Neurospora crassa OR74A: one gene and its partners. The protein of the gene in region 6 interacts with the protein of the main gene of each other region in a pairwise test. Links are inferred from orthologs where the notes say so. Each region holds a gene or a part of one and is shown on either strand. Other genes may lie near its edges.

The links.
Region 1: the proteins of pex11 (region 6) and pex13 interact in a protein complementation assay, tested with the Saccharomyces cerevisiae proteins (2 studies listed by BioGRID). The link is inferred for Neurospora crassa OR74A from reciprocal best matches to the Saccharomyces cerevisiae genes PEX11 and PEX13.
Region 2: the proteins of pex11 (region 6) and pex4 interact in a protein complementation assay, tested with the Saccharomyces cerevisiae proteins (2 studies listed by BioGRID). The link is inferred for Neurospora crassa OR74A from reciprocal best matches to the Saccharomyces cerevisiae genes PEX11 and PEX4.
Region 3: the proteins of pex11 (region 6) and pex14 interact in a protein complementation assay, tested with the Saccharomyces cerevisiae proteins (2 studies listed by BioGRID). The link is inferred for Neurospora crassa OR74A from reciprocal best matches to the Saccharomyces cerevisiae genes PEX11 and PEX14.
Region 4: the proteins of pex11 (region 6) and pex12 interact in a protein complementation assay, tested with the Saccharomyces cerevisiae proteins (2 studies listed by BioGRID). The link is inferred for Neurospora crassa OR74A from reciprocal best matches to the Saccharomyces cerevisiae genes PEX11 and PEX12.
Region 5: the proteins of pex11 (region 6) and pex10 interact in a protein complementation assay, tested with the Saccharomyces cerevisiae proteins (2 studies listed by BioGRID). The link is inferred for Neurospora crassa OR74A from reciprocal best matches to the Saccharomyces cerevisiae genes PEX11 and PEX10.

Annotation. Positions count from the first base shown.
Region 1 is NC_026501.1:2,931,239-2,935,247, reverse strand, and holds the start of pex13 (peroxisomal membrane protein), read right to left. Parts: upstream 2,801-4,009; 5' UTR 2,280-2,800; coding exon 2,225-2,279; intron 2,148-2,224; coding exon 1,617-2,147; intron 1,551-1,616; coding exon 763-1,550; 3' UTR 1-762. Other genes in the region: NCU02617 (kelch repeat-containing protein), read right to left, coding at 3,734-4,009. UniProt on the Saccharomyces cerevisiae protein: Component of the PEX13-PEX14 docking complex, a translocon channel that specifically mediates the import of peroxisomal cargo proteins bound to PEX5 or PEX21 receptors.
Region 2 is NC_026501.1:3,007,527-3,011,036, forward strand, and holds pex4 (ubiquitin conjugating enzyme), read right to left. Parts: upstream 2,278-3,510; 5' UTR 1,559-2,277; coding exon 1,390-1,558; intron 1,259-1,389; coding exon 939-1,258; 3' UTR 501-938; downstream 1-500. Other genes in the region: NCU02637 (hypothetical protein), read right to left, coding at 2,986-3,510. UniProt on the Saccharomyces cerevisiae protein: Catalyzes the covalent attachment of ubiquitin to other proteins. Essential for peroxisome biogenesis. Required for UBC4-independent ubiquitination of PEX5.
Region 3 is NC_026506.1:2,098,105-2,101,985, forward strand, and holds pex14 (peroxisomal membrane anchor protein), read left to right. Parts: upstream 1-1,365; 5' UTR 1,366-1,779; coding exon 1,780-1,819; intron 1,820-1,899; coding exon 1,900-2,225; intron 2,226-2,281; coding exon 2,282-3,019; 3' UTR 3,020-3,381; downstream 3,382-3,881. Other genes in the region: NCU03899 (HEC/Ndc80p family protein), read right to left, coding at 1-603, 707-757. UniProt on the Saccharomyces cerevisiae protein: Component of the PEX13-PEX14 docking complex, a translocon channel that specifically mediates the import of peroxisomal cargo proteins bound to PEX5 or PEX21 receptors.
Region 4 is NC_026504.1:5,625,390-5,629,371, forward strand, and holds pex12 (peroxisome assembly protein 12), read right to left. Parts: upstream 2,556-3,982; 5' UTR 2,231-2,555; coding exon 890-2,230; 3' UTR 501-889; downstream 1-500. Other genes in the region: NCU05244 (thioesterase), read left to right, coding at 3,330-3,857, 3,970-3,982. UniProt on the Saccharomyces cerevisiae protein: Component of a retrotranslocation channel required for peroxisome organization by mediating export of the PEX5 receptor from peroxisomes to the cytosol, thereby promoting PEX5 recycling.
Region 5 is NC_026501.1:5,159,126-5,162,702, forward strand, and holds pex10 (RING-1), read right to left. Parts: upstream 2,398-3,577; 5' UTR 2,125-2,397; coding exon 835-2,124; 3' UTR 501-834; downstream 1-500. Other genes in the region: bem46 family protein, read left to right, coding at 1-146; NCU03278 (protein-ER retention protein), read left to right, coding at 2,812-2,902, 2,981-3,577. UniProt on the Saccharomyces cerevisiae protein: E3 ubiquitin-protein ligase component of a retrotranslocation channel required for peroxisome organization by mediating export of the PEX5 receptor from peroxisomes to the cytosol, thereby promoting PEX5 recycling.
Region 6 is NC_026506.1:876,850-880,176, forward strand, and holds pex11 (peroxisomal biogenesis factor), read right to left. Parts: upstream 1,996-3,327; 5' UTR 1,824-1,995; exon of another isoform or gene 1,737-1,823; 5' UTR 1,547-1,736; coding exon 1,005-1,546; intron 905-1,004; coding exon 742-904; 3' UTR 501-741; downstream 1-500. Other genes in the region: npd-2 (2-nitropropane dioxygenase family oxidoreductase), read right to left, coding at 2,603-3,146, 3,212-3,327. UniProt on the Saccharomyces cerevisiae protein: Involved in peroxisomal proliferation. Promotes peroxisome division and biogenesis.

The DNA of each region.
Region 1 (4,009 bases), on a different chromosome or scaffold from region 6:
TAGGCTAATTAGCCACGCTTCGTTCCATCCCTGTGCCATCGGTGTGGTCACCGCCTCACATCGCCTATCACTTCCCTTCATCCCCCCTTTCGATTTCACACCTCGTGCGTCCATGTCTTTCAGCGTTCGCCGCTTCCGCTTACTCCATGCATCCATTCATCCATTTACCATGGCCGTCCTCTGTGTCTATATCTCCCTTTTGGCTCGCTCGGGTATTGACTTATGGTGAAAAGACGTTTACCCACGCAATAATCGTGTCATGCAGGTGTATAAAGATGTGAGAGTGTTTGTCATTCTCTTAATAATGATAATGCCGTAACTGACCGTTGTGGGCATGCATGCTTGTTTGGTGACGTCTTACACCCTTCCGACGAGTTCGAAAACTTCCGGAAATGCTCCGACTGATTATCTCACCGCGCTCTCGTGTGCCTCTACGTAGCTGCTTGGTGATTTTTTCCTGGTAGGAAAGTGTGGTCATTTCCACCAGGCTGGGCGAATCCGAATCAAGGAGAATCCGATTTTGATTTGATTTGCTATTGTGTCTGATTGTTGTGTTGGAGAGGAAAGCCGATTAGATGGCCATTGGGTGTTGGGCCACTCCCAGGAGGCCGGCGCTTTGCACATGGTAGATCCAGAGCTCGCACGATCAGGCGTGTATTAAGAGAATGAGACCGAGTGTCGAAGCCGAGAAGAGCGTGGCATGAACCGCGACGTCTCGATGTGCATTTTGCTGAGATCATTCCGCCTGCGTTCCTTGCCTCCCTAAGAAAAGAACTGCGACTTCTGGAAACTCTCGACGCTAATATCGCTAGCCTTGGCCGCCGGTAGGGCCGGAACCAGCACTTTCTTATCCGCGTCGCTGAGGATGCTGCTCAGCGAGTTGGCCCTCGTGTCGCCGTCAATGCTGATGGATGGGGCCCCAGCAATAGCTGCAACAGGCTGACCTGGCTTCTTAAGTACCTCGAGGAAGGTGGCCGGTAGATAGCCAATTCTTCCGTCGCGGGCGCGACACTTCCACCACTCGCTAGGCTGGCCGAGAGGATCGCTCTTGCTGAGAACGGCAACCAGATCACCCTTGTGAACTTCAAGGTCTACGCCCGGGACGATCTCGCCATTCCCCTGCGTGGCGGGCGAGAAGTCGTACAGGACGCGGCAGAACTCAAGCTTGGTCGGGTCGATGGTTTGTTGTTGCGCGACAACGAGCTGGCGCTTCTTTTCCTCTTCCTCAGCGTTGGAGGCCAGCGACTTGATCACCCTGCTCATCACGTAGGGCAGACCGAAGGCAGCGAGAACGAAGAAGATGAGGGGCTTTCGGCTGGGCTTGGGCATGGCACCGGCGGCACCACCGGCAGCCGCTGCAGCACCGCCCTTCCCGCGTCCATCAAACATGGCAAAAGAGGCTGGATTGAGGCTGGAGACATCGGCTGGTAGAGGCTTGCCGGTGATCTTGGCGAACACTGTCCTAATCCAGCGCATAATAGTGAAGATGCCCAGAATGGAGCCTAGGGTTTGGCGAAGATTGCCAAACTGCTCTGCGACAGCAACCATGGCTGAGCTGATGTTAGTATATCAGTTGCGCCTGACTGGAGGTGGGCATGTAGGATGATATAACCTACCAAAGAAACTCGAGTGTGTCGCCATATAAGTGCTCTCAAGCATTTGTGCAAAACCTCCGAATGCGCCGACAATGCCTTCCAGCATCTGGAATGTGGCCATCGTACTCATGTTGAAGCGGTTGGTCAAACTTTCCGGGTTGTTGGGATCGCCCGGCATGCCACCCATACCTCCTCCATACATGCCGCCGCCGCCGTACATGCCACCGCCGTACATCGACCCGCCGTAACCGCCGTACATTGAACTGCCGTATCCGCCCATACCCCCATACCTGGAATAGGGGCTGGAATAGGGCGACGAGTATGCTGAGCCGTATGAAGAGCCGTATGTTGTGCCGTACGAGCCTACGCCGACCCCGTATGGTGATGTACCCATCGCGCCCATTGGTCTGCTGTAGTTGGCGGCATTTTGGTTGACGGAGGCGGTCAGACTGGCAGGTCTCGCGGGGATGGCCGGGGTTGAGCCTGATGTTGTTGTTGTCGTGTTTGACTCTGGTGATGGCGTCGCGGCCGAAGAGGCTGCTGGTGCGGGCGCTGTGTCATTGCGGATTCAATGTCAGTGCCCTGCTTGTCGGGCGCACATGGAATGGTGAACGGGAAAAAAAACATACCCGATGCGCCAGACGTCGCGCCTTGTCTTTCCCACGGTTTCGGGGGGGATGCCATGGCGATTGTGTGTGGATTATCTGATCCTCCGCCGTTGATGGCCGGTGGTAGTGCTCGAGGAATGACTTCGATGGACCGGTAAAGGGAGAAGACGAAAACAAGGGGGGTTTACTGGTGGCCGCCTAGTTAGGGATGGTCCAGTCGTCAGTCTTAAGCGATGGGACAGAATGCGTGCGATGCGACAAGCGTCAGGACCGCTGCACTTTGCTGCTGGGAGCTGGCTGAGCGCCTGGGCTGGCAAAGAGTTGCCGCAGTGGCGAGGGCGCTGGGCTTAGCTGAGGATCCCGGTTTGGCGGCTTCCTCGCGTAAATTCGTTCAGGGAAGGGGAGCGCGAGAGAGTGTGTGCGAGTAGATCAGGGCCAATAAGTAGAGTCAGCGGGCGTGGCATCAGAGGATAATTTATCGTAGTCTTATTCTCGACTTCTTTTTGGGCCCTTCGGGTATAAAAATGTCGACTTTTCCTAGACCACTATGGGGAGGGGATCGAGCATTGACAGGAGGGGACGATGTCGTAGCAGCGGAAAGGTGGAGAACGTCAGTCCGGGAGCGACCACTCCTGTTGCTTTTATCGCTTTCGGACGGCTTGTGAACCTCGGCAACATTTTAGCGGGTAACACTGCCTGCATGGACACTTTATGTATGGTAGGTAGGTACCGACCCAGCATGGTCAGCTGCATGCTGGGCATCGTGCTCGTCTTTTACGACTCTGCAGTCTGCACTCCACGAACATCAGCATGATGTAAGCTGTGATAAAGGAAAACGTGGATGTACGCAGTATAATTGTTCCTTAACATGGTGGATTGAGAAATGCTTGCACGTCAACGTATTAAGCTCGCCAACTTCCAAGTTCAGGGGGTGCGGTATATCGATGATTCTGGCAGGTTGCAACCAAGGTCGGTTGTTTTGTAATTGCTCGATGCTGTTCTCTTTCAAGACCTAATCAACAAGCCAACCTCAAATTCAGATCAGTGCGTATGAATGTCCGAATAATAGTTCGGATTGCCAATATGGACACTACTAGCCGTAGGACAGAAAGGAGAAACGACCAGTCTTACATGCACGCTAACAATGAATACCCATCAATTACGCCAACGCCTTTGCAATGCCTCTGTGGAATAGTAAGCATCTTTCCCCGATCCCATTGGGTTTCCTGAATGCCTCCTTACTAAAGGATGGCCGAGAAGCTCATCGCACGAAAAGCCAAGTCTGCCCAACCTATCCTATCCATCACATCGGTCATACCTCAACCCAAAGTCCTGACTAGGGACCTAACACATCTAGCGGGCCTGCGACCCCTTCAGTGCCGATTCCCGTCGTGCTAAAGGCCCGCCCTTTTGTCCAACTAGCCACTCTTTCCAGTCCGTGCTTGTGTATGGAACAAATCTAATGACGAGGAGAATAACGACGAGGTGAAAAGACATCCTCTGCCGTGACAGAAAGCGGAACCTAGCTGTTCATGACATCTCCATGCCCTCGTCTTCATCAAGCTCGCTTTCAAGCACTTGCGTATGGTTGCTACTAATGCTCCCTTTACGCCGTGACGAGCCAGACCCTCCGTCGTGGTAACGACCATCGATCCCCACCATCAAATCAAGCTCGTCACCGCCAACCACACGGCCTTCCATATCAACTTCCTGCGAGAGCTCCACCAGAGCCGCCCGAGGAAGCCTCTGGAAACCGAGCGTGCGTACAACCCTGCCCCAGTGCGTCATACAGAAGGTGGCAGCCCG
Region 2 (3,510 bases), on a different chromosome or scaffold from region 6:
TGGGTTATGGGAAGGAATGTGGGAAGCGAAAAGTGCACAGCTGGAGGGCGCGGTTCAAATACACGTCTGATGTGTGATGTGCCAGACGCAACCTTGTGTGATGATCAAGGTTGTCTGCTCGTTGTCGAGAGAAGAGCTCTTTGCTAACTCCAAAAGCTCTGAGCGACCGGGGCAAGGAATCTTATAACAAACCTTATCTGGTCAAGTTTCCAAAGACATAGGGTACAGCGACGACTTCTGACGATATATACTAGACTATGGGCGAGGAAACATAGGGGACTTTTGAAGTTCATCTTTCCTAAACTAATAGCATAATGAAAAGTAAGGGGTTGCGGTTAGGTTCCTTGCTGGCATCAAGTACAGGTTGGTATATCGCTCTGTTCTGTTCTTTTGTGACTAACAACCGTAGCCATTTTCTAATACAGTAAGCATAGACCATCTCCGATGATTTGGAGCGATGTCTCTTTCTTTTGTATATACATAGTAAGGAACCATGACCAGTCACTGCACAAGTGTCCAGTTGTTGTGCATCTCTACAAGTTCATACATGGCAGCAACGTGGCTGTGGCGAGTACCAATACCACTTGCCCCTGATATCTAAGCGTATATCTCAGGAATGATCTATACCAAGCCCACAGGCGTTGGCTGGCATGTTGGAAGATTCGCTACAACAGCAACATAAGGTCTGGAAACATGAAATATCATCTGTTGCCTGGAGGGAGCAGAGCCACATGACATACTCATAAGCGCTCTTCGTATGTAAGAGGCTTCCACAGCCCGCTTGAGCTACTAGCCAAAATAAATCCAATGGTCTATTTCCCATCCCACGGCTATCCAATCCAGCCCCCCCCCCCCCCCCCTATACCCTTTCTTTACATTCTCCCCTCCATCCATCCCGTACATTCTACACCTCTATCCCTGCCCTCTGCCCAACTCTTTCAAGACCCCTCATACCTCTCTTCCTCAACCCACAACTCCACCAGCCCTCTCGCCGCCACATGATCCCCTTGCCTTATAAGCGCCGCGACATCCACATTAAGCGGACTGTCAATGCCTGGACAGCTCAACAACAGCCTGATGGCTCTCACGCACTCCAAAACGCTGTAAGCGGGCGTCCATGCTTCTTTGAGCAAGTCCAGACAGATCTCCCCCGTGGTAAGGGCTACGTTGGCGTGCACGATGGGGGTGATGAATTTGATGGTTGGTGGGTGGAGGGGGTAGGTCGGTGGGAGGGTTATGTGGAGGAGCCAGCGGCCTTCTGGAGATTTGTGTGTGTTATCGTTAACAATGGAGGCTCTTTTGGGAGAAGGGGCGAGGTAAACATGAAAAGGGAAAGGGGGATGGATAAGAGGGAGGGAGGGGAAAAAAAACCAAAGATAAGAGACATACCATCATAACCACCACCTACCCCCTTCCCGTTAATCACGGCCTCCCAAATCAACAACTCATCGTCGTTGATGGGACCTAACCGCTCGACGCCCTTCTCTTCTTTGGACTCGATGTTGCTCCAGGTCGTGAGCTCTTTGATTAGGCGCTTGGCTGCGCTGCGGTTAGACATTGTTTATATATATGTGTACGTCTGTGTATGCGTGTATCCTTGTCTGTGGTGTATGTAACGTATACTCCGGTTTGTTTGTTCTGTAGCGCTTTGTATGATAGTTGAGTGTCCTCTCAATTTGGTAGGGATAATTATTCTTCCTTGTTCAGCGTTTCCAACGGAGCTGCCCGATGGTGCCTTGATGTGATTCCGACTCGTTTATCCAAGAGCAAGACAGACACGAACGAACGAGATTAGTCAAGCTTCGTCAATGCTATCCGTAAGGTCGAGTCTTCAGTTGCGCCAGCGCCAGTGCTAGTGGTCGGTCGTTCGGTACTCGGTAGTACGCTATGAAAGTATAAATGATCCACAGAGGTAAACCCGCGTTTGAAACTGAGAGCAGGTCGACGAGAAACGAGGGAGCCCTTTGGGGAATAGACTTGCGTATCCTCGTTTGGAAATCGTGTCCGTGAAGTGGATGGTTCTCGCACCGCAGTTGCCGACTGTGGTGTCGTCGCTAAATCGGTATAGCTCTGTCCGTGTGTAAAGCGACTCTTGGTGCACGGTCCTCGATGATCGATCTGTAACGGGTGGGCGAACCGTGATCAATACCACTCAGTGTAGCTGGATCTCGTAAAAGAGCGTATCGTCGGTCGTGTAGGGCTCAGGTATTGTTTGTTGATGTCAAGGTGTCCAAAGTGCTGTGCCCACAGAGGTGCTGCTGCTGCTGCTGCTGCCACCGCAGTGCGGTTGATCGGGGTACCCCTGACGGGCCAGCTGCGCATCGGCGTTTCCGGCGGCTGCATCTACCGCTACGTGGCTCCGTAGATGCGGATCCCTAGTGGTTGAAACCCGTTTGGCGGCGTCACTACGGCGCGCTGAAACTCAAGAACCCTTTGTGTCGCTGAAGCCGAGGCTGAAGTGCCGTTATTCGTTTTCTGGGACGGCAATCCATATTACCCCAATGGAATGGACAAGACCACACAGACAGAAAGGCACCGACATAAACAATAGCAACGTTTTAAGCGCATGGTATCATGGTTTGAATTGCCTAATAATCGTGTTGCGTTTGAAGCTCACCTGATCAAAACCTTCCACCCTAAGTCGATCGTAGACATTTGCAATGATATGTCCATAGAATCACAAAAAGATTTGTCATCGTCCACCTTTGAATCATATGTCCCTTAACCACATCATTCCTCGAGAAATCAACATCTCGTCCCCTAGACAAATTTCTGGTGTGACCGAGATTGCTATTGCTGCTCCCCTTCGTCTCGTGTTATCTTGTCCTTCGTGCTATCGTCAAAAAGAAAAACGCCCTATCCGTCAAGTCGAAAAGCCCTCCAATAAATCTCATCTAGATCCCCAAAATTCCGTACTTAGCGCCACATTAAAACAGAAGAGCCTTGACACCCATGCTCCTAGCTAGTTTCGTCTGAAAAATATCGTTAAGCCTCGCAATTTTCCTTTGATTTCCAGAACTGTACAAACCGGCCGAGCCGCTTGGTCTTGCTGGGTTTGACCTTCTTCTCTGATCCGTCATCAGTCGCCGTAACCTCCATCGAGAGCTTGCTGCGCTCACCATGCGAGCTGCTAACAAGACGGCTAAGGCTAGCAAGACTCGATCGCCTTCGACCAAAGGCAGAGGCACTGAACGAGGCAGGCCTAGGCAGCGTGTTGGAGGATAGCTGCCTAGCCTGAGGGTTTTGCGCAAAGAAGCTCTCACGAGTCATTGACGAGTCGCCGCTGGTCAATGATGGGACATCATCCACCGAGATCCGTACCTCTGGTCCGGGTTCGCCCATAAGCAGTGACTGGAAATTGTCCTCAGTGATGGATGAAGGTGCCGTCGAAATGCGATGGGCGTCGTAGGATAAGGGAGACCTGGGAGACGGGAAGGCTGATGACGGGGTCATCGAGTGAGGACTGACTGGTGCGCATGACACAGCAGCAGGCAAGGTCAACGGACTGCA
Region 3 (3,881 bases), about 1.2 Mb from region 6:
ATTCTTCTGAAACCGGTAACTCGGGTCTATCCTGTGGTAAAGCCATTGAAACAAGTAGTTGAAGTCCTTCTGTGTCGGCGACTTTGTGAAGTTGTCGGACAGCTTGTGGTTCATCTCCATCTCGAAATTGTTCTTGGCGAGGTACTCGAGCAACTCCTGGCCAATGCGATTTTGGAATTGACGGTCTTTGAGGGGGCGCGGATCGCGAGGCACGCCGGCGGGCTGGGGCGCTTGCTGGAAGAAGCTCATATGCCCACCAGCTAAGGGACCTCCGCCGACGGCCGACGGTCGTGCGCTTGGGCGGTAGACGCTGCTTCGCCGGTCGAGTTCTTGCGATGATCGAGGAATACCGGAACTGCCTGGGGTGCCATAGGGCTTGAACTGCGACGTGTTCATGTTATGAACCGACGCGCGCTTTACCGAGCCCAGGCCAATGTCGGAGGATCGCTGGAACAGAGGTTGGCTCGGTCGCGGGAGGGCCAGAGATTGCCTCCCCGACAGAGAGCGACCATGGCCCGTTCCTATTGTGCCGATGGTGCTTTGTCGCTTAAGTGTGGAGGGTGGTGCCGGAATGCCCGACGTGAGGTTGACGCCATGGAGAGTCTACAGAGAGAGCAGAGTCAATATCGTGCATGGTCGCGTCGGATGGGGAGAGGTTTCGACCGAGGAAACACGCCGCAAAGAAAGTCACGGGGGGAAGTCGCACCTCCCTTGGCCGTCGAACACTCCAAAGGCCTGCGTTGCTGTCTTGCGACATGACGGCAAAGGCCTCGTCAATGTGCGCCTCCCTTTTGCCGTCCTAGTCGCGTGGTTTCCGTGATAATATATAAGCAAGCGAACAAAAGAGTGTTACACTACGTGCAACTGTGTCGGATCGATGTCGGCGATGATTCTCTTGGTGGTGATTATGTCGGATAGCTTTGTAGAGCTAAGGTATGCGCTCGAGTTAATGTGGGTACGTGTTCGCGGCTCTGACAGAAATCAATGCATAACCGCAGTCGCGGATTTCGTCGTGTCGTAGCGATAAAAGTACGTGTACGGCCAGCAACCTAATGCAGGCCAGCATAGGTATGTAGGTAGATTAAGACACCGTAGTGTAGACGGGACTAGGTTGTCGACTTCTGCGGATGGTGGGGGAGGTTGCTCCGTCAGGAAGAGTAAACAAAAGAAAGGCGACGTGGGTGGGGCTGTGGAAATCATTGGGCTGAACAGTGCCAAGTGCACTCCAGTTCTCGTCCCCAAGCATCGGGACGGCAGGTGAATGACGGGAGTGGGTCCAAAAGCGACCTTGAGGGTGAGTGTTGGCTCGCTTCAGGTCAGTGCTTTTTCAGCTCTGCACTCCCGTCTCTGAGCCAGTCACTGCATGGAATGGATGCTCAGCTGCGCTCTAGGCCTGTCGGAGGAAAAGGAGAGTCAGGGGAGGAGATAGTGATTTATCTGATCAGCATGCCTCCACGAGTGTGCTGGGGGTGCAAGTGATGCGAAGCTGTTAAGGTGCTATTAGCAGTCCACGTCTAGTGTACAATCAGGCCCCCGGTCCCGTGAACCTCGGCTTCAGGACTCCATCCAGCGGCCCAGCCATCCCCCGAACCGCTGCCAGTCAGTTCGTTTCCACTTCATCTATCGCATTCAGCCTCCCGTCCTTCGATAATCATTCCATCAACCGCCGCCGTCTGCCATCGCGTCGCGACTGTTTCAGCTGTCTGCTTCTTTCCTCTCGTCTGCCCAGTCTCAACAAGGGAACGCCATCTGCCGCATTTCGATCAAACAACATCAGTCATGGCCATCCGCGAGGACCTGGTCGCTTCGGCGGCGCAGTGTATGTTCTGCCCCTGTCTTGTCCCCTGCTACCTCCTCTACATTGCCAGGCCAGAATCTCACCCGACAACAACACCACAGTTCTTCAAGACCCCAGTGTCGCCGCCTCGCCAATCGAGAAGCGGATAGCCTTTCTCCAAGCAAAGAACCTCACCCAGGAAGAAGTCAGCGCTGCTCTCGCCCGCGCCGAATCAGGAGGTCCACCGCCACCGTACGCCCAGTCGCCCGCCTATGCGCAGTCGGCCGGACCCGTCGCAGCACAGGGTGGCTCTCCGCAGTACTATGGCTATCCCCCATACGCATGGCCGCAATCGAATACCGACGGTGTCAGGCGGGACTGGAGGGACCTGTTCATTTTGGCGACCGTAGTCGGAGGCGCGTCGTACGGCCTATACAATCTCGGCAAGGTAGGCCGCCGAACACCGTGCAATGTACATAAAAGGAAATTCTAACCGTTCGGCAGCGCTATGTGTATCCTTTGATTGCTCCTCCCACGCCGGAGCGTCTCGAGCAGGACAAGAAGTCCATCGACGAACAATTCGACAAAACATTCCAACTGGTTGAGCAGCTGGCCAAGGATACCGAAATCCTCAAGGCCTCGGAGCAGGAAAGGACAGAGAGACTCGACAATGCCCTCGAGGAGCTGGAGACTGTCGTCAGGGACCTCAAGGCAGCCAACAGACGCAGAGACGACGAAGCACAGAGAGTACGGGACGATGTGCAAAATCTCAGGGACTCGATTCCAAGGGCACTCAACAACCAGAAGGACTTGACCGACAACAGGCTGCGCGAACTCAATACCGAACTCAAGAGCCTCAAGACCCTCATCTCGCAACGCATGAACCCAACCGCCACCTCGACGAGCGTCAACAACTACCTTCGCCCCAATACTAACGGAAACGCCACTCCTTCTTCAGCCCCTGCCACGCCAGCCCTCGGCGGTGAGAACGGAGACTTAAACAGCAGAGCCGCGAGTGCGCAGGATGAGCAATCCAGATACCAGCAGGAACAGCAGTTCGCTCAACCTGCTGCCCCCAAGCCTTCGCCTTTCAGCAGCGGAATTGCCTCTGCAGGCAAGCCGACTATCCCTGCTTGGCAGTTGGCCATGGCCAACAAAACCGCGTCGGCTTCGACTGTCGGAGTCACGAACGGTACTACAAACGATGGCTCAAGCAGCAACGGAGGCGACGAAGCCGCTTAAAAAGCTGTTCTCCAGTCAGGCACAAAGATAAAATAGCACCGGAACTGGGAAACCTGGATACATTAATCGGCATGAGCATAAGGCCAAAGTGAGCGACTCCCTCTGGTTTTCTGTATAGTAATAAAGCTCCTGTACGTTGTTCAAGCAGGACAATACACAGGAGCACTTGTGAAGCATGGGACAACCTCATTCAGTCCCCTTTCCATGATAGCGCGTTTGTATTTCTGCAAGGTCTTTAAGCGCGGACGTTGCATGGCATTTTCCTAGAGCATGATATCAAAAGCTACCATTTTCACATCTTATAAGGTTAGGCCGTGAATTGATCTGAGACATCCCGTACACCTGACCGCCCAGTATTTCTGCCTCACTATTTTGACCGCTGCTATGGCATTGCCGAGACAAATTTTTGGTTATTGTCCTCAGCCACCCAAAAAAACTGGAGGGGAGGGGCAAAAAAAAAAAAAAGCCATGATCGAATAGAGATGCGCAAACGGTCAAAGAGGGACAACTGGCTTTGGTTATGTCGCCCTCTATTCAGGACTTTCAGCCACATCGGTACAGTCAGAACACCGCGGCCTCTGTAGAGAACTAAAGGATACATTGTAGTGTAGGTATTGATGTCGCTGCCAAATCATTACCTCAGCGTAGCATATGCGTACCCGAGAGGTCGGATGCGGAATATTCTCTGTTAAGACATCCCGGGTTCAAGGTACATACACCTTCGTGCCATGGTTCAGTTTCCAATCGCATCTAATAGTCCTCGTAGCTATTACTTGATCGGGCAATGCTTGCTTGGAACCAAACATTGACCCCACCCATCATCCCTTTCTTCCTGTGCCAATGTTCTCATAGCGCCTTCGTC
Region 4 (3,982 bases), on a different chromosome or scaffold from region 6:
TATGCATTTCCATTTCCATTACCCCTTTGTTTTCTCTCTTTTTCTCTCCATAGACAGCTACCTAGTCAAGACAGCGTTCTTCAGGCAGAGAAAGGCAGAATATTCACTGGTGGTCGTATGTATATGGTTATACAATGAGAAGCATCGCAATAATACCTACCTACCTACCTACCGAACTCTATCACATCGCCATCCACTTGCTACAGGGTTTGAAGTAAAATCAACTACACTAGATAGCGCTTCTCATCACGGCAAATAATTGACTAGCTAGTAATCTGAAAGAAATTATCGTCAAGCAAGACGTAGACAGACATACAGGAAGATGGGAAATTCCATTTTCATTGCGAATTTGGTCAACATGGCAGGCAAAGTGGTAGGTGCTACCATATGAGTTAAGGTTTGGCACTTAGAGTCCAACAACAAAGCGGGTTTAGCTCAGTTGGGAGAGCGTCAGACTGAAGTCCACTTCACTCATAAATCTGAAGGTCGTGTGTTCGATCCACACAAACCGCATCTTTCTTTTGCCTTTTTGGATTCGCGAAGTACGTACAGGTAGATTAATCGAGTTACTGAAACGGTGTTGATAGACATTCTGATCCCCCCCCCCCTTTTTTTTTTTTTTTTTCTTGCATGAGCTTCGTGTTGTTCGTACGTGAACCATCCGGTTTGGCAGTACAGAAAAAAAAAGAAGATGGCTGTTGACATTTCATCGACCACGAGGTGATAGAGGAATCTGATTGTCTGACCAGTAAGCATGTCCAGTTTTACATGTTCGTTTGCGGTATGTTGGTTATGCAACTTGCCAGATTATATGCCACCATTAAATAATGTCTAATGTTCGCTTTTCACAACTCATGCCAATCCATCATCCTCAATATCTTCTTTCCGGCTAAACCATGATCCGCCTCAGCCCTTCCGTCCCTCCCAGCACTTTCCTTCCTGTGACGGCACATCTCCCCTCTCCGCTCTCCCACTTGCCCTCGCGCTCTTTCGTCATGAACTTCTCCTGCCTGACATGGGTCCCGCTCATCCACTTGTGTATGCACGAAAAGCAATAGACCACACCCGTCTGACACGCCGCCGGCGTCTGGATCTCGTCCTCGCAAATAGGGCACATATCAGATCTCTTGGGTGGTGGCACCGTGAAAATCGGCAACAGCGTCGAAGCCGCTATAGGCGCCGTCTCGGGCGTTGGTTCCTTGCTGCTAGCCTCCTCCTCTGCCTCATCATCCTCATCCGCCTTCTCCTCCACACCATCCTCCGACGTCCTCGTGATCTTGGGTTTAGGCTTATTCCTCGCTTGCGCCTCCACCAGCCCCGTCACCGTCGGCGGCGGCAGATCCAGGCTTTCCGCCGCCTTGCGACTCAGCTGCTTGGCGAAATCCGAAGCGTACCACCACTCAAGGAACTTGAGCGCAAAAATACTCGTCGGCAGCACCAGCGACAGACCGCCCATCAGCCTTCGACTCATATTCCTCGGACTGAACATCGACCCCCCTGTTAATCTGGAGGTAGCGGCGGCGGCCCCCGCTGCCTTCTCTAGAGCCTCAATCGCCTGATAATCCGCCCCGTTCATCCGCCGCACGCGCGTCCCGATCAGCCACAAAAACGGGTTATGGTACTTTGTGTTGTCAAACAGATACCCCAGGTTAAACGCCAAGATGGCAAAGTAATACGCCGCGTTCAAGCTCGGGTACACTTTACGTAGAAACCAGCGGTAGTAATACAAGAACCGCTCCTTCATCGGGGCCCCCTTTGCCGGCGGCCGCGTGTACTGGCCGCCCAACATGGCGCGCGGCGCATCGATCTCGTAGGCCTCGTCCAGCTTGCGTTTCAGGTAGGGGATCCCGACCATGACGGCCAGGTTCTTCCAGATGTCGACATCGGAGAGCTTGAGGGCGTCGCGGACGAGGTTGGGCGCCGAAGAGGCCGCGCGCGGGATCTCGGCGGCCAGCGCCTTTTCGCGCTTGAGGCCGTAAAAGTGCTCGGTGAAGCTGCCGCCGCGGGTTTTGAGGTAGTGGCGCTCGACGAGCAGCCCCGCGAGGGCGTACAGCTCGTCAAAGGAGTTGAGGATGCGCAGCAGGTGGCGCGGGTAGCGGTGGGTGAGCACGGTGAGGAGGTAGCGGAGGGTGGGCGGGAGGAGGGAGGCGAGTTGTTGTTCCGAGAGAAGCTCGAAGAGGGAGGGCTTGCCGTCGTCGAAGGTGCCGCGGAGGGCGGTGACGAATTCCATGGTTGTTGCGACGGTGCCCGGTTGGGTATTGTTACGGTCTGGTGGTTATCGGGGGCGGGATGGGATGGGATGGGATAGGCTCCCGCCGGTTGTATCGAGAGGGGGTGAGTTCGAGGTTCCTCTTTCGGTATGTTCCAGTGTCGCGCGTAGTGATAGGGGGTCGGTGTGACGTTTTACTAGTATTATATCGCCGTCGTGGTTTCCATCGATGGATTTGTTGATGTCAAGTCAAGTTCACGATATAATTGGGATGAATTGAAAGAAACGGGGCGAGATGGACCTGGACCTCGACCTCCTGGAAGTTCGAACAAGGGGGGGGGGACTCAGACCGGGGCCAAGGAGTGGATGCCGCGACGCATCAAAAGTGGCACTTGGTAGCACTGTGAGTGGACAGCTGAAAGTCGGGCAGCGCAGTGGAGGCCTGTGGGTGCTCCCGTCGCTGTCTAGTGTAGTTGCTTGCTTGCTTTTGCTTGCCGCCGCCGCCATTTGGACCTTGCCAGGTAGCCGAGGCTGTCAGGTCATTCATGTACCCCAAGAAATGGGTTGCAACGGATGCCCGCCAGTTTACCCCATTTGCCCATTCATCCCCAATCATCCCCCCCTGTGCCTGTGATGTGTAGTGTAGACTACTGCTACTATGCTAGGTAGTCACGGCAGGCATGGATACCCCCCTCTCCTCTTTTGCTTTGGTTCGATTCCGTCGAGTTGTCGGGCATCCGTTGTCGGTGTTGTTTCCATCCCGCTCTTTTACACATACCTACTACTACTACCTACTACTTGTACCGCCGGTAACACTACATTGATAAATTACCTACTACTTCCCTGTTTTGACTTATTGCCGGTTCCTGTGTGTGTGTGGTACATCGATACTAACCAACACCGACCAAGGCAACTACCTACCTCCCTCCCGTCTACCTACATACACACTACGAGACTACACTACCTCTACTAACGGCAATCTACAACCGCCCTTCCCTGCCGCGCATCCCATTACGGACGGCACAGTGAAACACCGGACCTGCAAGCCACAATCTTATCATTCTTATTTCCCTTCCCTTCCCGTCTTATCGTCTCGTCTCGTCGCTCACGGAGATAAAAGATGACCATCCGTACTTATCATCGCCCAGTAAAGACATCTGAAGTCGTTGTTGTTTCGTTAGCATCCCAAGAGGAGCAAGAAAATACTATGGCCGGTGGTCAAGAAGGAAGAAAGGGGTCGGCATCACCGCCACCACCACCACCACCACCACCACCAGCAACACCACCAAAGAGCGGTGGTGGTGGTCAACATCAACATCCACATCATCATCTGCACCATCTACACCATCTACACCAACAATATCAGCAATTTCAGCAACCGGCACCACCACCACTACTACCGTATCCACAAAGTCAACATTCACAAAGTCGTCACCCGCAGCAGCAGCAGCAGCAGCCACCAAGAAGTGCAGCACCACCAGCACCAGCACCAGCACCCGCACCCGCACCAGCACCCGCACCAGTACCAGTACAACCACCAAGCACTACCGTCGACCCAAGTCTACTGCCATACACGGGCGAGCAACGAATACTCGAACTACACCGACGAGAACTCGAAAAGGCTTCTAGCGGTGATATCAGCGATCATGTGCGTCACTCTTCACTCTTCACTTACTACAGTACCTTCTTCACTTTTCCCTAATTTCTTCCATAAGAGTTCTCCTTCCTTTTACCACATAACAAACTAACATGACAAGCAGGACTACACAACCC
Region 5 (3,577 bases), on a different chromosome or scaffold from region 6:
TTTATCATCTCTCCAACGCTCCGATAAAGATCTGGAAGCCTCTTCCCAACGGCGACCATAACTCGAGTGTCCTCGAAGAAGGCTACTTTGAAGCCATCGCAGAATTCATCCAAAGGGTTTCCTCAGGAGACCCCGAAAAGAAATAGCTCGATTCGACAACGAAATCCGCGCCGTCGCTCTCTCCTCATTCCATACGGTAAATGGGTCTTTCTGTTGAAGGGGAGGCATATGATGTGCCCACGATCTTGATGACGCGAAAGCGTCCACGATTACGAGCTGTTGGGGGACAGCGAAGCACAAGTACGACAACCACGACCTTGGTGGCTTGATGCTTGAAGATGGGTCGGAACTTGAGGCTTTCATTGAGGTGTCATATTTTCTCTTTCGCACCTCGTGTATGTATTTCATGACCCTTTGGACCTATGTCGAGGTTGCTCGGGTCTTGATTAAGACCCAAACGGGACGAGACTCGATATTAATCAAGCAAGAGAAGTTTTTGTAGAGTAAATACCAAATATTAATATCGGACAAGGAATAATTCAATTTCATACTTGAACATATGTGCATTAGCTTGTCAAAAGTTCCTGACCTTTTGAGAATATGTCGGATCATTCAATCATTAGGCTATGTACGAAAACAGGCTCTCTCTCCTGGCAATATGCTTGCTGCATATACAATTATCCCTAAACCGCAGTTGTTGACTGTTCGCTCCTTGTCATGTGCAAATACTACCCAAAATCTGTTCTCGAGAGGACGTTGTAAGACTCCTGCTTTTTGTCATATCTCCCGTATATTAAGTATTTTGTCCCCCCCGACCGCCAGAAAAGGACTGCTCTAAGCAACCCTCAATGGCAGAATATGCTGTACCATCGTCTCACGTCTGCACAACGGACACTCAGGCTTCTCGCGCACCCAGTCTCCAATACACGACCAGCAGAAGACATGTCCGCACTGGGTCGCCGCCGGGTCCTTCAGCTCTTCCAAGCAAAGCGTGCACATCCTCTGCTGTCTCCCCTTGATCCAGCCCATGACCTCCTCATTCGCCGCCAAGTCGTAGTTCGCCCTCCCGCCCTTGGGCACAGGGGTGTGCGTCGTCCGTCCAATCTCCGCCAAACTACGCTGGTTACCCGACTTGCCCGTCTCCACCAGCAACTCGTTATTGCTGCTATAGGCATTCTCATCTAACGACACATCCAGTGTGCCCGCAGCGCCCGGCCCAAAGGCGCGCTCCCGAATGCTCGCCTCGGTACTGGCCTCCTCGGCACTAAGCGGCGAAGTTGACGACAGCTGCGCCGTCACATGCAGGTATCCCCGGACGAGCATCTGCACCACCAGCAGCACGCCGAGCACTTCATAGCCCGCGCGACCGCCTTGACCCTCCTCGATGCGCCGCGTGAACACATAACGCAGCCCGAAGAGGCGCTTGGAGAAAGAGTAGTAAGCACCCGAAAAGTAGAATACGGCCAGCGTCAAGGCGTGCAGGTGCGCGCCGCTGGTGATGGAAGTCAGGTGTGTGAGCAGGTAGCGCTTCACGCGGTACTCAAGCGTTGACACTGTGGAGAAACCACCGCCCTTGTTGTTGGAGGTAGATGGGGTGGCGCCCTTGGTGTCGCCGCGGCCCTGGCGGGCAAGCACGGTGAGACGGTCCTGGAGGCGCTTGCGGAGCGCGGCGCGGATGGAGGGCAGCAGGCGGCTGAAAAGGTAGGGGACAAGAACGCTACTAACGATGTAGCCGGCTCGTCGCTGGAGCGAGGGCAGACGGGGGCCACCGGCTTCGCTGCTGGGCTCGACGGGGCTTTGGGTGTCTGGTATCCTGCCGTTGCCGCCCGTACTCGGCTCTTCGACTTGGACTAGGTCGCAGTACTCCTCGCCTAAGGTGCGGTTGCCGAGGAGGGTGGTGAGGCATAGGTAGAGCAGGTCGGCAGCCGTACGGGTTTCGGTGGCCCAGGAGTGGGCGGAGCGGGCACCGCGAACGCGCCGGTGAAGGTCGGTCAGCTGGTTAGTGAGGACGCCCTGGAAATAGGCATCTTTTTGATGCGCGCGGATAATGTCGGGGGCTGCAGCGAATGGATATGGCGAGCTCGTGAGCGGCGGAGGAGGCTTCTTGGTGGCCGTCAATGACATGGTAATTGATGTCGTCGTTTGGGTCGGGTCGGGTGGGCTCGAAGTCGGGGGGGTCAAAAGCTGTGTTTACACGGTCGACGTATTCAGGGGGAACTCTCGAACCCTAGGAGAGCTCGTATGCCTACAGTCGAATCGTCGAAGCTGTGGCAGTGGATGATTAAGTCTTTTCGATCTGAAATTATCCGAGTTGTTGTTTGATGTTTCGAGATCGACAGGCGGCAGTTGAAGCTGAGATGAAAGTGGTAGTCGGGAACGGATGGACCTCGGTCCTTGGGGTTAATGGGGGCAGCACGCCCGGCGCCGCCCCAGGCGTGGTTCCTCCTCACAAGGAGCGAGCTGAGGAATTGGCAGGGGGGTGCCCAGAACGTCGTAGCCCAGGCTTTAGCGGCAGGGATGATGCAGCGGGTTGTCACAGGACGGGGCCGCGACCAGGGGTTGCACTGACGTCGGGTCTTCTCCCTAAGCCAAAAAGAGTGCACGCGACAGGGGCTTGGCAACTCCGGTGTCTTTGCGACAGCTACCACAATACAGATGAAATTAAAATTTCCATCTTGACACTTGACAAACTCCAAACGCGTTACTGCTGGGAATTTGATCCCAAGCCTATCAACTCTTCTTTGCGTCCAACTGTTACTTCTCCCTCTCCGCATTCCATGACGGACAGCAAATTGACCGCTGCCTGGCGCAATGGACGGTGATCCCGTGGTTGAGCCGGAGCTCGACTCCTTCAGCTTGACCTTTCCCCTTCCCTACCGGGTTGCCTTCATCGTGATCATAGGTATGTATATACAAGTTTCCTACCGTATGTTTGCTCTCTGGATACACGGTTGTAAACTGACTATCTCTGGTTGATTAGCTGTTTGGGGCTGGGGCCTCAACCTTCACTTCCTCCATAATCGCAAGATCGACGTCCCCTCCTTAATCCGGTACCCAGGAAGATCGAGCCCAACCCAGCTCCCTCACCACCACTCGACATACCGTCTTGCGACTCTTCTTTCGCTAAGCTCCGCTGTTTCGATTCTCACATTTTGGTCGTTTACCAGGCGCGATCCAAAACGCGTTATCGACTATGACTGGATTCCCATGACCAACTTGGCAGTGACCGCAGCCCTCTTCGTGCTACCCCTGCGAAGACTGTCTGTTTCGCACTCCGGTCGACGTCGACTACTCGCAACTCTGCGCCGCGTCAGTGTGGGAGGTTTGGCTGAGGCCAAGGATGGAAAGTTTGGGGATATCTTGCTGGCTGATGTTCTCACCAGCTACGCCAAGGTCCTTGGGGACCTGTTCATATGTCTCTGCATGTTCTTCACGCGGAATGGGTCTGCTACTGACCGACCCGATCGCAGCTGCGGCGGCACCTATCTCGTACCACTTCTCCTGACGATACCAAGCGCTATTCGGCTGCGCCAGTGTCTTATCGAATATCTGCGCGTGCGAAATTCCCCTTTCAAGG
Region 6 (3,327 bases):
CCGCCTCATACTTTGAGACAATGCTTCATGCTCCGAGGGGAGCAGGACATCAACATGCCAGGTAACAAACGCCATCCGATTATGGTAGGGCACACTGCAGACTGCGCAGGCACAAGAACGGATGAACAACCATCCCATCCGGGTGCATGCGGGGAATTTGGAGCGGCCCACGGCCCCCAGACCGGGATAAGGCGGGTGGGGGAGCGCCTCGATCCGCTCCTCCGGGGTTCGGAACCCCAAGTCCTCGGGCCGGAGACATGAAACCGAATCATGGCATGGGTGATGATCCACACATTGGTCACGCATCATTCATTCCCAGTCAGACTCACATGTCAGGGTCATAGAGTCGTGCCCTCGCTCGTCTGGAAACTCACCAGTCTAAACCATCAATCACAACCTTTGCGGAGTAAGCACCAGGAAGCAAAGGCCCGTAGCGCGAGGCATTCGACAGGAAAAGAACGGCTTCATCAACGAGACCGAAATTGACCAATGGTCAAAGGCATCAACAATAAAATAAATCTGTTCGTGAAAGCTGCCACATTAACCACAAACATAGTACCGATGAAACGAGTCAAACAAATTACGCGTGCTGTTGTCCCAGTAAATCACCCAAAAGATATATCCATCTTCATCATTGAACATTGAACCTCCCATCATCTCATCGTAGATCAACAAGACCCCATTTTCCTCCTCCTCATGCGTAGCAGTGTCTCTTCTTCATCATCATGTCGAATCTGCCCTCTAAGCAGTCTTCTTCCACTGGGTGTAAATGCCGAGTAGAGAGCTGAGAGTACCAGCAAGACCGACGATGCCATCATCGAAGTTGACCCAGGCAAGGGCCGACAAGGGAACAGTCAAGTCGCAAAGGTCCGAAGTGAGCTGGATGCGGCTGGCGGCGCGCTCGCTATAACATTCGCAAAAGTATCGTTAATATCATGTCTCTCAGGCGCATTATCGCAAGTAACAAAAACATAGGGGAGCCAGGGGGGGGGGGGAGCACTTACACCTCAATCCTCTTGGCCTCCACCACACCCTCGCCCTCCTTGCGATCAACCCGTGCCTCCCTCTGCCTCAACCTCCACAGCGTGTACGCCTGTGCAATCACACTGCAGCTCAATCCCATAACCCAGAACCTCTGGCTTTCCCTCGCCAGCCTCTTGGCGCTCTCCGTCTTGCGAATCCCCGTCGCATCCAGCAAGGTACCCAGATCAAACGTCAAATAACCCGCATAACCGAGCTGGCGGCCGACCGCCAGGTACCGCAGAATGGGATCGCCGTTCTTGCTGTCGGCCGCCACCGCCGCGGCCTTGATGTGCTCGACGTTCTTGCCCGCGCGCATGACCTTGCGCACCAGGCCAAACTGCTTCTTCATCGTCTCCCATGGCTGGATCGCCGAGGCGGGCTTGTTGGTGCGAAGCAGGTACCAGGCGTAGAAGCGGGCAAAGTACTGCAAGAGACGCAGGAGCTTGTCGCGGCCGACCGTGGTGGCGACGAATTTGAGGTAGTGCGAGACCGCGGGGTGGTAGACGAGGGCGTCGGCGACCATTTTTTTCTCTCTCTAAGTTATAGTTTGGGGATGTGAATTGGACGGTTTACGCGGGTGTTTGGAATTGGTGGTTTGTTTGTTTGTTTATTTGTTTGTCGTGGAGGTTGGGTTGAAGTTGAATGTTCCGGATCGGAAGAGGGTCGGATGTCGCGGCGGGTTGTTGTTATTCAGGTACAAGTCAGGTTATAGTCTAGATAGCTGAAGTTAGATGAGCTGAGCTGGCGGTCAGACTTTCCCCAAGTTACGCTTTCAGAGGGGGGTTTTGGGTTAGGTTGACCTTTGGGGTTTGTATCACGGTAATTGATCACGAATTCAGTTGGCAAACAGGTTCACGAACAGCGCAAGTCGCACTTTGACTTTGAAATTCAAACAGAATAGCTGATCACTCACTAGTCTTTCTGGTCACTTCTTCTTGGATGCCAGCTTTGGACTGTTTCGGCTGCGACTTTGCCCAAGCGAGCACATGCCGAGGTTTCTCTAGCTTCCTCTCCGCCTTTGACTCGGGGGAGGACCCATCGGCTCTCCAAACGGCTTGGCAATTGCGTGCCAGCCGTGGAGTCATGCAAGGGTTGGCCTGTTCAAGAAGTGCCGCCATCCATTGGAGTTAAATCGGGAACGCTCCATCGCGTGCCCAAGGGCGGGGTTTTAGCGTGAGGACTGACCTTCGGGTTAGGGTTGTTCTTGATGGTTGTCATGTTATACCGTCAACGTCGTCTTGCAATTCTCGTTACGTAGAGCCGTAATCTGGAAGGTTAATGAGTTTAGGTCAGTTTTAAAAGGTGATCTGAAGCCAAGAAAAAGTCATTCACGAATGTCATATGAATTCATGGCTTTACTGAGTTTGATGCGTTGGCCCTAGCAGGCGACTGCTTGGGATTCGTATCGAAACACCAGTCCCCACTTCTCAAAATCACCTGCACAGTACTTGTACATACAAGGAAAGTGAGAGGAAAAAGAAATCGAGGATGAAAATAGGAAACCAAGAGAATACATTTGCCCCAAACACCGACAAAATCCAAGCATGCACAGCAAGCCGAAACTCAATTATAACCGGCTCTATAGTTTCGACGGCGCGGCAAAAAGCTTGACCTTCTCCTTGATTGTCTCCTCGGCCTCTTTCTCGATGCGCGCAATGAGATCCTTGCAGGTCGGGATGTCATTGATGAGACCCATAACCTGACCCGCAGTCCAGACACCATACTCGGGGTCACCGTTGATAAAGACCTCCTTGCCGCGCTTTCCACTGACATAAGGGGCAATCTCGGAGAACTCGCCCGTCTTGCTCTCCTTCTCCACCTTGAGGGCGTCCCGCACTACCTTGTTCTTGAAGAGACGGGTGGTGTTGCGCCAGCGCCTGAGGACAAGCGCCGTGTCTGTCTCCTGCGCCTTGACAATCGCCTCCTTGATGTTGTGGTGAATGGGGGCTTCGACGGTGCAGAGGAAGCGAGTGCCCATGTTGACACCGCAGGCGCCGAGCATGAGCGCAGCAGCGAGGCCTTGGCCGTCGGCGAAGCCACCCGAGGCGATGAAGGGTACATTGAGTGTCTGGCGGGCCTTGCTGAGGAGGATGAAGTTGGTAATGTCCGACTCACCGACGTGGCTGTGATTTGTGGCATAAGCAAGACTGGCCAACAGGGGAGCTATGAGGTATATGGCTTGACCTACCCGGCGCATTCGAAACCGTCGATGCTCAAGAAATCGACACCGAGCTTCACTGCAGACTGAGCATGTCTAATGGTGGTGCACTTGTGGAGGATAGTGACGCCAGCCTTCTTGAGCTT